2 linked regions of the Oryctolagus cuniculus genome follow. The protein of the gene in region 1 interacts with the protein of each later gene in a biochemical or structural test. Links are inferred from orthologs where the notes say so. Each region holds a gene or a part of one and is shown on either strand. Other genes may lie near its edges.

Region 1 (5,454 bases):
CCCACCCCCAATAACCCGCTCCCATAGTGACTAACCTGCCCTCATGATGGCTAACCAACTCTCACAACAACCCGCTTCCACACAGCCTGCTCCCATGATAACTAACCCCTCACACAATAACCCGCTCCCATAACTAACCCGCCCTCATGATGGCGAACCTGCTCTCACGATAACTAACCTGCTCCCACAGTGACGTCCTCAATCCATGATGAGGGCGGAGCCCGGGCCTGACCTGACCACGTCTCCCAGGTCCCCAGTACTACACGCAGCCAGCAAATCTCGGCAGGCGGTCGGGAGGACGTCCGACCTCAGCCCCGGCAGCGCCCAGGCTCTGGGTGAGGGCGCTGATTCTGGACGGCGCTGCCTGTGAAATCCACCGAGATGGACACTTCCGATCGGGGAAGCCTTCTGACGCAGGCGGCAGCTATGTTTTCTGTAGCATTCTCCGGCTTGCTTATCTGGCCACACAATTAGCCAGCGAAGCCCAGCCAGATTCCAGGAAGAGAGAAGGAACAAAACAAGTCCCCTGGCTGCTTTCGGCGGTGCTGCAATCAGGCGCTGACGTGAACCGGCGGCGTCACCTTCAGCCAACCAGGCCTCTCCAGAAAGATCCCGGGCGCCGCCGCCCGCGGAGGCTCCGTGTGCCACACACTGCCACCGGCCTGCTCTCCTGCGTGCCCCCACCCGGTAACTACCTCATCAAACACCCGCGTGTCGGACGCACTGTCGTGGGTGCCGTATCCATGACCAAAACACGAAACTGCGGAAAAGACCTACAAGCACGTACAGTAAAATCCCGCACAACACGGGCCGGCCAATTCTTTGACGTTTTTGGCATTAAAATCTGACCTAAACAAAGTTGGTAGTTTATAAGACTTGAAAGAGAAAAATCTTAATGAATTCTCTAACGCACAACAAACCACTAACATCGAGTTGCGATGGCTAAAAAGGAACTCTGAATGTCTGCTCGTCGTGTTCAGGACGGCCGAGGACGGCCGAGAAGGGCACCGGGGCAGCAGTCCTGCACCTGCTCACTCGTCAGAGCGCCCTGGAGCCACCGCGAAGGCACCTCTATGGATAAGGAACGCGGCATGCAGACAGCTCGCGGACCCCCAGCAACCACGCATCCCCACTGTGCTCTGGGCGGCCCACCCGCCCTCGTCTCCTTCCCCTACCACTGAACCCCACTCAGCTCCGCAGGACACGCCCTGAGAGGTCAAACAGCCTCAGCTGTTTCAAGTTCCCCTGGGGTCAACCTCCAGTCTCCCAGCTCCTGAAACAAACCTGACCCACAAAACACAGCTGTCCAGTCCAGGGCAAAGCCCAGCTGTCTGTCTACCAGACGCCTCAGGGGAACTGCAGGTCGGTGGGACAGAATCCGCAGGAAATTCACACTCTGCATGGAAAGCCCAGAGACGGCAGACGGAGAGGGCTGCCCACGCCAGGCCCGAGCAACATGGGAGGACGGAGAGGGCTGCCCACACCCAGGCCCGAGGACAGAGGGCGCTGTCCACGTCAGACCCGGAGACGGGAGGACGGAGGGCACTGTCCACACCAGGCCCGAGCGAGACGGGAGGACGGAGGGCGCTGGCCACGCCAGGCCCGAGCGCGGAAAGGCAGGGCGCGGCTGCTGTCCCGAGGAGCTGGCCCCGAGCAACGCTGCGGCAAGCACAACCGTCAGCAGCCGCGGCCACAGCCGCCCGGAGCCGCGCCGCGCCATGGCCACAGCGGCCCGGAGCCGCGCCGCGCCACGCCATGGCCACAGCGGCCCGGAGCCGCGCCGCGCCACGCCATGGCCACAGCGGCCCGGAGCCGCGCCGCGCCATGGCCACAGCGGCCCGGAGCCGCGCCGCAGGGCGCCCTCACCTGCGGCAGCGCGGTGTTGAGCTGCCTCTGCAGAGAGTCCCTCTCGTGGCCGACCTCGTGCAGCTTGCCCTGCGTCAGCGCCAGCGTCTCCTGGGTCTCTCTCAGCGTGTCCAGAAGACGGTCCCTCTCTTCCAGCATGGACACCATCAGCTGCTCGAAGTGCGAGTCGGCGTCGGGCTGGGCCGGGGAGCCGGCCCCATGGCTCCCGCTGCCTCCCGGGGGGCCTTCTGCCTCACTGATGGTCGGCATCACCTCACACATCATCTGCAAGACAGGCAGCAGCCCGGTCATCCGGGGCACACACCTGCACCCGGCTGTCCCCACTCCCAGTCCTGCCTGCTTGCAGGGGGTCGGCAGAGACGCCCGGGGCCGCGACCAGCGAGGACCCAGAGCGGACCCAGAGCGGCCCGCGGGGTGCTGTGCCCGCAAGGCTCCGCTCTCTCCGCGTGCTTCTGGTACCTGACTTTCCTGCCGCCCGGCTCGGGGCCGGGGCAGGAAGGGCAGAGAGGGGGCATCGCACGGGAACGCGTGCGGTCGGCTCGCGAATGCCGGGCTGCACCTGGGAACCGGGTCCGGGGAGGGCGGGCAGAGGTGTTTCTCCGCGGCTGCCGTGGTTGGTCAGTCAACCTCGCTTACGTCAGTTTACAGCCCAAAAAAAATAAACCTGGGGGAGGCGGGGGTGGAAATTCCACGCGGGACGGCCAGCGAGGAAGCCAGGAAAAGTGAAAGGCGAGCTGACCAGAGGCTATTAGGTGTCTCCGGCGGAAAGGCCGGGCACCGCTCCGGAGGCTGCCGGGGCACCGCGACCCCCGAGAGCCAGCAGCCCAGCGCCGCGCACCTGGCGGGCGCCGGCCACCGCCAACCGCTCGCACCTCCGTCCCCTCCCGCGTCAGGTGCCGCACAAGCCCCAGCACCCGGGGGTGCTCGGAGCCCCTGGGACAAGGCCCGCCCGCCGTGGCCACAGGTCCTCGCCCCTGCCCCCGGCGCTGGGGTCACCACGGCGCCGCGGTCAGCGCGCGGCCCCCAGGGCTGAGCCCCCCGGGGAGCAGCGGGGCGCCGAGCTGGGTGGGGGCTCCCCGCCGAGGGCCGCGCCCCCAGCCGCGCCCCCGCGGCGTCCCGGCCCCCCAGGTGACACTCCGTCCGCGGGGACGGCCCGGCCGGCGCCGGGCGCCCCGGGCCCCGCGCCCGCCTCAGCCCCCCGCTCCTCACCTTGCTGGCCGGCGGCAGCGGGCGACGAGGCTCCGCGGCGGCTCGCTGCGGGCGAGCTCAGGGGCCGACGAAGGCAGCCGCGGGCAGCTCGCGCCCGCCCGCCCCACGCCGCGGCCCCGCGGCCCGCCGCCCGTCACGAAGGCCGGCCAGCGGCCGGACACTGGCGGAGCGCAGGAGGAGCGGGCCCGGCTGCGCGTCGCCGGCGTCAACGTGCCCGACGTCCGGCGCGTCGGCGCGAGCGTCAGCACCGCCCCGGGGGAGGGGCCCCGGGGCGCCGCGGCCGCGAGTGCGCAGGCGCCGCGGCCTCGGGAGGCAGTGGGCGGGGCCGCTAGGGCGCCGATTGGCTGGGCGTTGCGGAGGCTCCGCCCCGCCCCGCCCCGCCCACACGGGTCCCCGGGCGGAGCCACAGGTGGGAGCCGCGGAGCCAGGTGGCCGCTGTAGCTTCCGCCTGCGTGCTGCCCCCGAGTCTCCCGCAGCCGTGCGAGCGCGGGAGGCCTTTGCCCCCGCGCCGGCGGTGTGCCAGGTCCCGAGCCAGAGCTCCCCGGACGTCACGTCGGCGCTCCGCTCCCGGGGCTGGCGCTGCTACTCGCCACCTTGCGTGAGAGCGAACCGCGACCTCCGACGCCCGCTGACAGCCGGGCCCGGACCCCGCCGCGTCGGTCCCGGAGCGGCCCCGGGCGGATCCTTACAGGGCGGGCGGGACGCGGCGGCCCCGCCAGACCCACGTTCCGACGCTACATGCCGCACCTGGGGCGGCCAAGACCAGCAGCGTCGGATTTCGAGGCTCACGGGCGCCGTGCGGGGACGTGCAGGCTTCGCAGGCACGGCTGGTTCAGCCACCGGCCGCTCCTGTCCCTGGACAGCTCCGGGATGCAGGACCTGCGCCGTGGGAGGCACCTCCGAGCTGCCCTCGGGGGCCGGGCCTTTGAGAGCCCAGCAGGTGCGGAACCGGGCAGGGGAAGCCCTCCTGCGAGTCGTGCGTGACCAGTCACCCTTTCCGCAAGCGCCTAAAAAAGCGCCTGCCGCGTGCCACATCCCACGCAAAAGTGGCGGGTCCCAGCGTTCAGGAACGCACGCGTGCCCGCCCCCTGCACGGTCGGGCGCAGAGAGCGCAAGGTCTTCATAAACCAAAACGATAGGGCAGCGGCTGCGGCCCCACTGGCCTCTGGGTGCTGGTGTGCAGCCAGGAGCCGCACCCGAACCCTCCAGGTGATCCCTCGAATCTCCATGGGTCAGACCACCTAGAACAAGCACTGGGTGACCAGGGACCACACACGAACCCGAATCTGCATCTCTGCCCCAGCTCTTTGCCATGTTAAAATTGTACAAAAAAAAAAAAAAAAAAAAAAAAAACCACCACTTAGGTCTGCGATTCTGCAGGGGTGCAGGGGTGCCCGGTTCTCCGAACCAGGGTCTGGATCACTGATTTGCAGCTCTCCTGAGGGTCAGCGGCTCAGCGCACCCAGCCCGTGTTTGCCCATGGCTCACCACGGCGCCGCCTCCTTGGAAACGGGCACCGAAATGAAATGTGGTTCTGCCATGGGGAGCCTGCATCGGATTCATGAACACGTGTGGGACATGTGTGAGCGGGGGATGGCCCGGGTCTAGGAACACGGAAGTGGCCTGGGCCTGCGGGGGGCGGAGAGAACCCCACTGCAATGGTGTCTGCTGGGGGTGGGGGGGACCTGGTGCTGCAGAACCAGCTCGGCGCCACGGCGGGCCTCACGGCGGAGGCAGGTCTCAGCCACAGAAAGCAGAAACCCACTGGGGCTTACGGGAAAGCGGCCATTTGGCTCCCGGAAGACGAGAATCTCGGGTTACATTCGTTTTCATTCATCCATTTCATTCATCCAGATGACAGAATGGTAAGAGGAAAGCTGTGACAGCCAAATGGCTTGCAGAAGAGAGATTGGTTAAATCCTGTGTACTTCCAAATGGCAGGAAACTTGGTAGCATTCACTTGGCGGGGCCAAATGGAAGCCGGGAGCCAGGAGCTCCGTCCAGGTCTCCCACGTGGGTGGCAGGGACCTAATTACTTGGGCCATCACGGATGCCTCCCGGGGGTCTGCCTTAGCAGCAAGCTGAGTAGGGATGTGACCCAGTCACTGCTTGTGAGATGCAGGCCCCCAACCTGTGTTTCAGCCACGAGGCCGGATCCTGGCCCCGTGCTTTGGTTTTATCATTAGGAAAGACAAAAATCCCACAGACGTGACTCCACTGAAACCGCGCCAAGAAGGAGCCGAGAGAATTGCCGTCAGGAGCCAAAGCGGCTTGTGCTGTGGTTACCGACAGCTCCCGGCTAACCACGGACCAGAGGCGTTGCCTGAGGAACACTCCGAGGTTGGGTGGTATGCTTCCACGGTTCGTCAGGAAAACTCC
Region 2 (4,802 bases), on another chromosome or scaffold:
TTCCCTGCTGCCTCCGCTTGGCCTCGCTGAGAATGTCGATGATCAAGGTGGCAAACTCGCGGGCGTTGAAGCGGGCCAACTTCTGTCGCCCCTGCAAGGCAGGGAAGACCACGCTGACCCCTAACTGGCAGTGACGGGGCCGCCAGGCACTGCCCTGCCACCCGCCTGAATCAGGGCTGGTCCGTCAGGGCCCCGCTGGGAAGAGGCCAAGTACTCAAAGTAACAACGTCTTCCTGGTTCCCCAACCCCAGCTCAGCGAGGGGCGAGGGTGGGCAGGAGCCCAGTCCCAGAGCGCTGAGGAAGGGCAGGGCTCCTGGGGACGGAGAGACCACCCTCTGACCTGATTCCGGGTAGCCGAGTACTCCGGGTTAACCGGCAGGAAGGGCACGGCGCTGCGCTCCGTCACCAGTGTGCTGTGGTTCTGGGTGGCCAGCCACACTGTGGGGGAGGGACAGAGAGGCCATCAGCATGGTGGCCGGGCCTCCCCATGCCCACCGAGCCTGCTCAACAGAGCGGTAGGCTTATGCAGGATGAGGCTGGCGGGGGACTAGGCACAGAACAACGCCCACCCCGCCCTCCATCCAGCAGCCCCAGTTCAGGCTGGAATCTGGCTGTGGCCAGGAGGCAGTGACGTGGGGGGCAGAGGGGAGGGAGGAGCGGGGACGCGGCCAGGCACCTCTTCTGGGTTCCACTGAGGGCCCAGCAGGGGAGGCACTCGGGCCGACCGCCATCCCCGAACTTACCCGCGTCATTCTCTCTCCGGTCTACCTCGTCATACACGTCCATGGCAAGCTCTTCAAAAAGCCGGTTGCTGAGCTGGAGGCAGAGAGGGATGAGATTCTGTCAGATCACTGGCCCCAGTGCTGGCCAGGCCAGCTGGCTAGGATGGCGTGAGGCAGGGGAAAGGCTCGTGTCCTTGCTGCCACCCAGCCCCGTGTTCTGAGACCTGGAAAACAAGGCAGGGGCTTGGGTCCAAGCTCCAGGGAGGGCGAGGACAGAAGGGAGCAGGACTACTTGATTCCTCGTAGGTCAGAGGTGGGGCTAAGGCCCTGGGAGCCCTAGCACATGGAAGGCAGAGCCGAGGTCCAAGACAGGAAGGGTGCAGGGGCGGGGGGGGCTAGTGGGGGGCTCCGAGCATCAGGGTGCTCACCGCCTGCAGCTTCTTCTTTGCAGCTTTTGCCAACTCAGACAGGTCCAGGCTGGGGACGAGGAGGGGAGACGCAAGGGAAAGAAGGGCCGTGAGAGGTGGCCAGGCCCCTGTGGTGACCTCCCAGGCATGCAGGGCTCCCAGGCAGACAGGACCGCGACGCCCGCGCCCGCCCGCCACAGCCTCTATACCTCTGAGACATGCACTTTTGCCGAGACCTAAGTCCAGAGGAAGGCAGCAGAGGGAAGAACAGGACAGCAGCTGTTACCCAGCAGCAGGGCCGCTCGCGCCGCCTCGGGAGGAGCTGGCACTCTCGGCACGCACCCCGACCCTGCCTGCTCTGTCTGGGGCCCCTTCACGGGCTCTCGGCTACCTCGGGAGCACCTCGGCATCTCCCGCCCCAGGTGCTGCGCCGTTCCCTCTCGCCTGGGCGCCTTTCCCACCCAGTGGCACCACCCTCACTGTAGGGACCCAACATTCCAACAGTGCACAGGGCACGCCTCAGCCCTGCCTCCACCGAAAGCGAACTTCTAAGTACGGGCTGGATGCCTTGCACGCATCATCTCACTTAATCCTCTCAACAGCTCTGCCAGTCCCTCCTCAGATGAGGTAGCCAAGACGGGCTGAGCGTCCTGCCTCCAGTCCCACAGCCCATGGACGGCACAGCTGAGCCCACACGCCGGGCCTGGAACCCGTCTGCCCTGGGAATGGCCTGGGCTCTTGCCCTGGCTGTGTTCCTGAGACTCCCGCCCCATCCCGGGTGGTATTTCCAACCCCTGTGCCTCCTGCCGTCGGCAAGAGCTGCAGTGACGGGCAGCCTCCCTAGCTGGAGCAAGAGCAGGGAACATGTCAGACATCCGCCTGTGACTGCAGTGCCCAGAGTAGCTGCTGGCTCTGAGAAGGTGCACGGCCCATGTTGCACTGAGCGCGTGCCCACAAGTCGGGCTTTTTGCCGCACACACAAGGCAGAATCAGACCAGAGCAATGGGGAGAGTCTCAGAACAGGACGTCTGGGTTGAGGGATCCCTGCTGCCCAGGCCTGACCCTCTGCATCTGTTCACACCAGCTCCTAGGGGAGGGAGCAAGCTCCTCTCCAGTTACAGCCTGGCAGTGGAACACCGCCGCGGCCAGAGATGGCCACCAGGTGGCACTAGCATGCATCTCCTGAGCTGGATGAGTGCCTGGGGTGTCCTTACCACCTGGGGCTCTCCCAGCCTCTCAGATCAGAGGCGGGAACACCTCACTCAAACCCTGTGCCATGCATGGCCCTTGCCTGATTTCTGAGTGTGCGCCCAGGGCCTGGGCAGTAGCCGCAGAGCGGGTCAATCCCTGGAGCCTACCATCTTTCACTACGGAACAGAGGTTTGTGTAAGGTGGGGTCAGAGCCCAGCAGCCACCCTCCCAGCAGAGAGGCCCTCCTTGTGCCCTGGGCAGTCAAGCGGCTCAGGTGGTGCTGGTCGTGTACTGAGCTGGCAATCCTTACCTGCCGTTGGGCCCAGCATTAGGAGTGAAGACTAGGCTCTGAAATACCTGTGCCTCCAGCCCCCCGACAGGATGGGGGTGGGGTGGGGTCCCAGGCCCCTGAAACCAGGGGAGAGGATGGGGTGGGGCCTCTGGGGGTCAAACGTCCGCATGGCATCCAACAGCCTTTGGGAAGGGGCGTCAGGTGGGCACTCACCTGTCAGCCATCTGTGGGATGATGTAATGCCCATTCTTGTGATCTGAACAAAAATAAAAATGCCAAGTCACTGGTGCTGGGTGGCCTCAGCAGCTGGGAGCCCACCCCACTGCCACAAGCAGGGCTTGGCACCCAGAAGTGTCGGGGGGGAAGGGGGAGGGCAGGCCACCCCAAGAGCGCTGGGAGCTGGCTGGAAGTTAGGCCCACCCCCACTCTCTGGCCCCAACCTGCTGCAGCCCAGAGCCTGCAGCAATTTCACAGGAGCCAGTTGCCTAGCAACACTGTTCCCCAGCCGGCTTTGTCACCATGGCACCTGCTGCTGGGGTGTGTCTGGGTCCCACCTGCCAGGCCCAGCCAGACCTGCCCGTGCTCTGCTCACCCGGCTTACGTCCACAGAGGTAGAAGGCCAGCCGGTCAGTGAGCTCATACTGGCACTCGACTAGCCTTTCCGCCAGTTCATGGTGCCCGGCCTGCCTGTGGGGAGGGGTATGGCTCAGCCCTGCAGCAGCAGCCCACTGCCCCCACCGGCCAGGCCTCACCCCCTGGCCGACCCTCACCTGGCATAGTCGATGGGTGTGCGGCCATTAACGTCGGGGGAGCCAGGGTCAGCCCCGTACACGACCAGCAGCTCTGCCTGCAGCGTCTGCCCTGCCTTGGCAGCCACGTGCAGGGGTGTGGTGCCCTTCTCTGGGTGGAAGAAGTTGGCCTGGGCGCCCAAGGACAGCAGGCGCAGACATGTCTCCAGGTTGCCGGTCCGCACGCTTGAGTGCAGTTGCTGCAAGCAGTGGAGTGTGCAGTAACTGTGCACGCGTGTGCACGAGTCCTGCCCCAAGCTGCCCCTTGCCCCGCTGCTCCCCGCAAGCCCACCAGCTCCAAGGGCCTCAGCCAAAATCTGGCCATGTCAGGGAAGACAGAAGGCTCCCCACCAGGAGTGAATGCCAACGAATAAAAACTGCCTTCAGGGCTGGCACCCGGTGCAGCAGCCAGGATGCGGCCTGGGATGCTCACATCCCCATCCAGAGGGCCTGCTCCAAGTCACAGCTCCTCCACTTAGGAACCAGCTTCCTGCTAATGTACCGAGAGGCTGAAGGGAATGGCTCGAGGTGCCTGGGTCCCGGTCGCCCACATGGGAGACCTGGACTGAGCTCTGGGTTTCTTGCTTAGACCTGGCCCACCCCTGGCTGTTGTAGGCATTTGGGGAGTGAACAAGCAGCTGGGCGATCTCTGTCAGCCTTTCAAATAAATAAAAATAAGATTCAAAAAATCGTAACAACTGCCACAGTCACCAGCCGCTGTGTGCTTGTATGCTCTGCCAGGAAGCCATATCACCTATGAGGTAGTTGCTATTATTTCTTTCCCATTTTACAGATGAGACCACTGAGGCTCTGAGAGCCTTCGCACCTGCCCTTAGCTTCTGAGTGGCAGCTGGGGGACGTTAGCCTCATGTGCACACTCGGGAGCTGAGGCGCCTTGGTCACACACAGCCTGATGGAGCAATCTTGTCCCCTGCTGTGGCCACTGTTTTCCCCTGGCCAGGCAGCCCTAGGGGCCTCGGGCTCACTGGTCATGAAGGAGAGGCCCTCGCGGTGTGTGGGGGTGGGAAGCAGAGGCCCGCCCCTCCCTCGCAGGGCCCCCCGCACCTTGCTGAGGTCTTTGGCGGTGACCCCATCATCGTCCCGGCAGGGAAGCTTGTGCACAAACGCCAGCATCTGGTACTTGGCCCTGATGAACTCGGACTTGATGGGGCTGCACGGCACACACAGGAGGAAACGTGTGTCCCCGGCCACAGCCCAGGCCACGCACGCCCTCCCCGCCGCCCCTGCAGCCCCACTCACTGGACTTTGTCTTGCGGGTTGGCTTTGCGCCGGCCGCTCTGCACTTGTGCGGGGTCCAGCAGGGAGTGCTCCCAGATGGAGTTGGCCCCGTTGCTGGCGAGCGTGTGCACCATCTGCGGGGAAAGGCTGCCAAGTGAGCGTG

What was found.
Region 2: the proteins of PPFIA1 (region 1) and GIT1 form a complex in vitro, tested with the Homo sapiens proteins (2 studies listed by BioGRID). The link is inferred for Oryctolagus cuniculus from reciprocal best matches to the Homo sapiens genes PPFIA1 and GIT1.

The regions. Positions count from the first base shown.
Region 1 is NC_091432.1:2,221,556-2,227,009, reverse strand, and holds the start of PPFIA1 (liprin-alpha-1), read right to left. Parts: upstream 3,282-5,454; 5' UTR 3,076-3,281; intron 2,347-3,075; exon of another isoform or gene 2,326-2,346; intron 2,131-2,325; coding exon 1,867-2,130; intron 1-1,866. UniProt on the Homo sapiens protein: May regulate the disassembly of focal adhesions. May localize receptor-like tyrosine phosphatases type 2A at specific sites on the plasma membrane, possibly regulating their interaction with the extracellular environment and their association with substrates.
Region 2 is NC_091448.1:45,042,081-45,046,882, forward strand, and holds part of GIT1 (ARF GTPase-activating protein GIT1), read right to left. Parts: intron 4,774-4,802; coding exon 4,661-4,773; intron 4,572-4,660; coding exon 4,466-4,571; intron 3,601-4,465; coding exon 3,383-3,600; intron 3,300-3,382; coding exon 3,205-3,299; intron 2,869-3,204; coding exon 2,826-2,868; intron 1,366-2,825; coding exon 1,339-1,365; intron 1,200-1,338; coding exon 1,151-1,199; intron 817-1,150; coding exon 744-816; intron 439-743; coding exon 341-438; intron 92-340; coding exon 1-91. UniProt on the Homo sapiens protein: GTPase-activating protein for ADP ribosylation factor family members, including ARF1.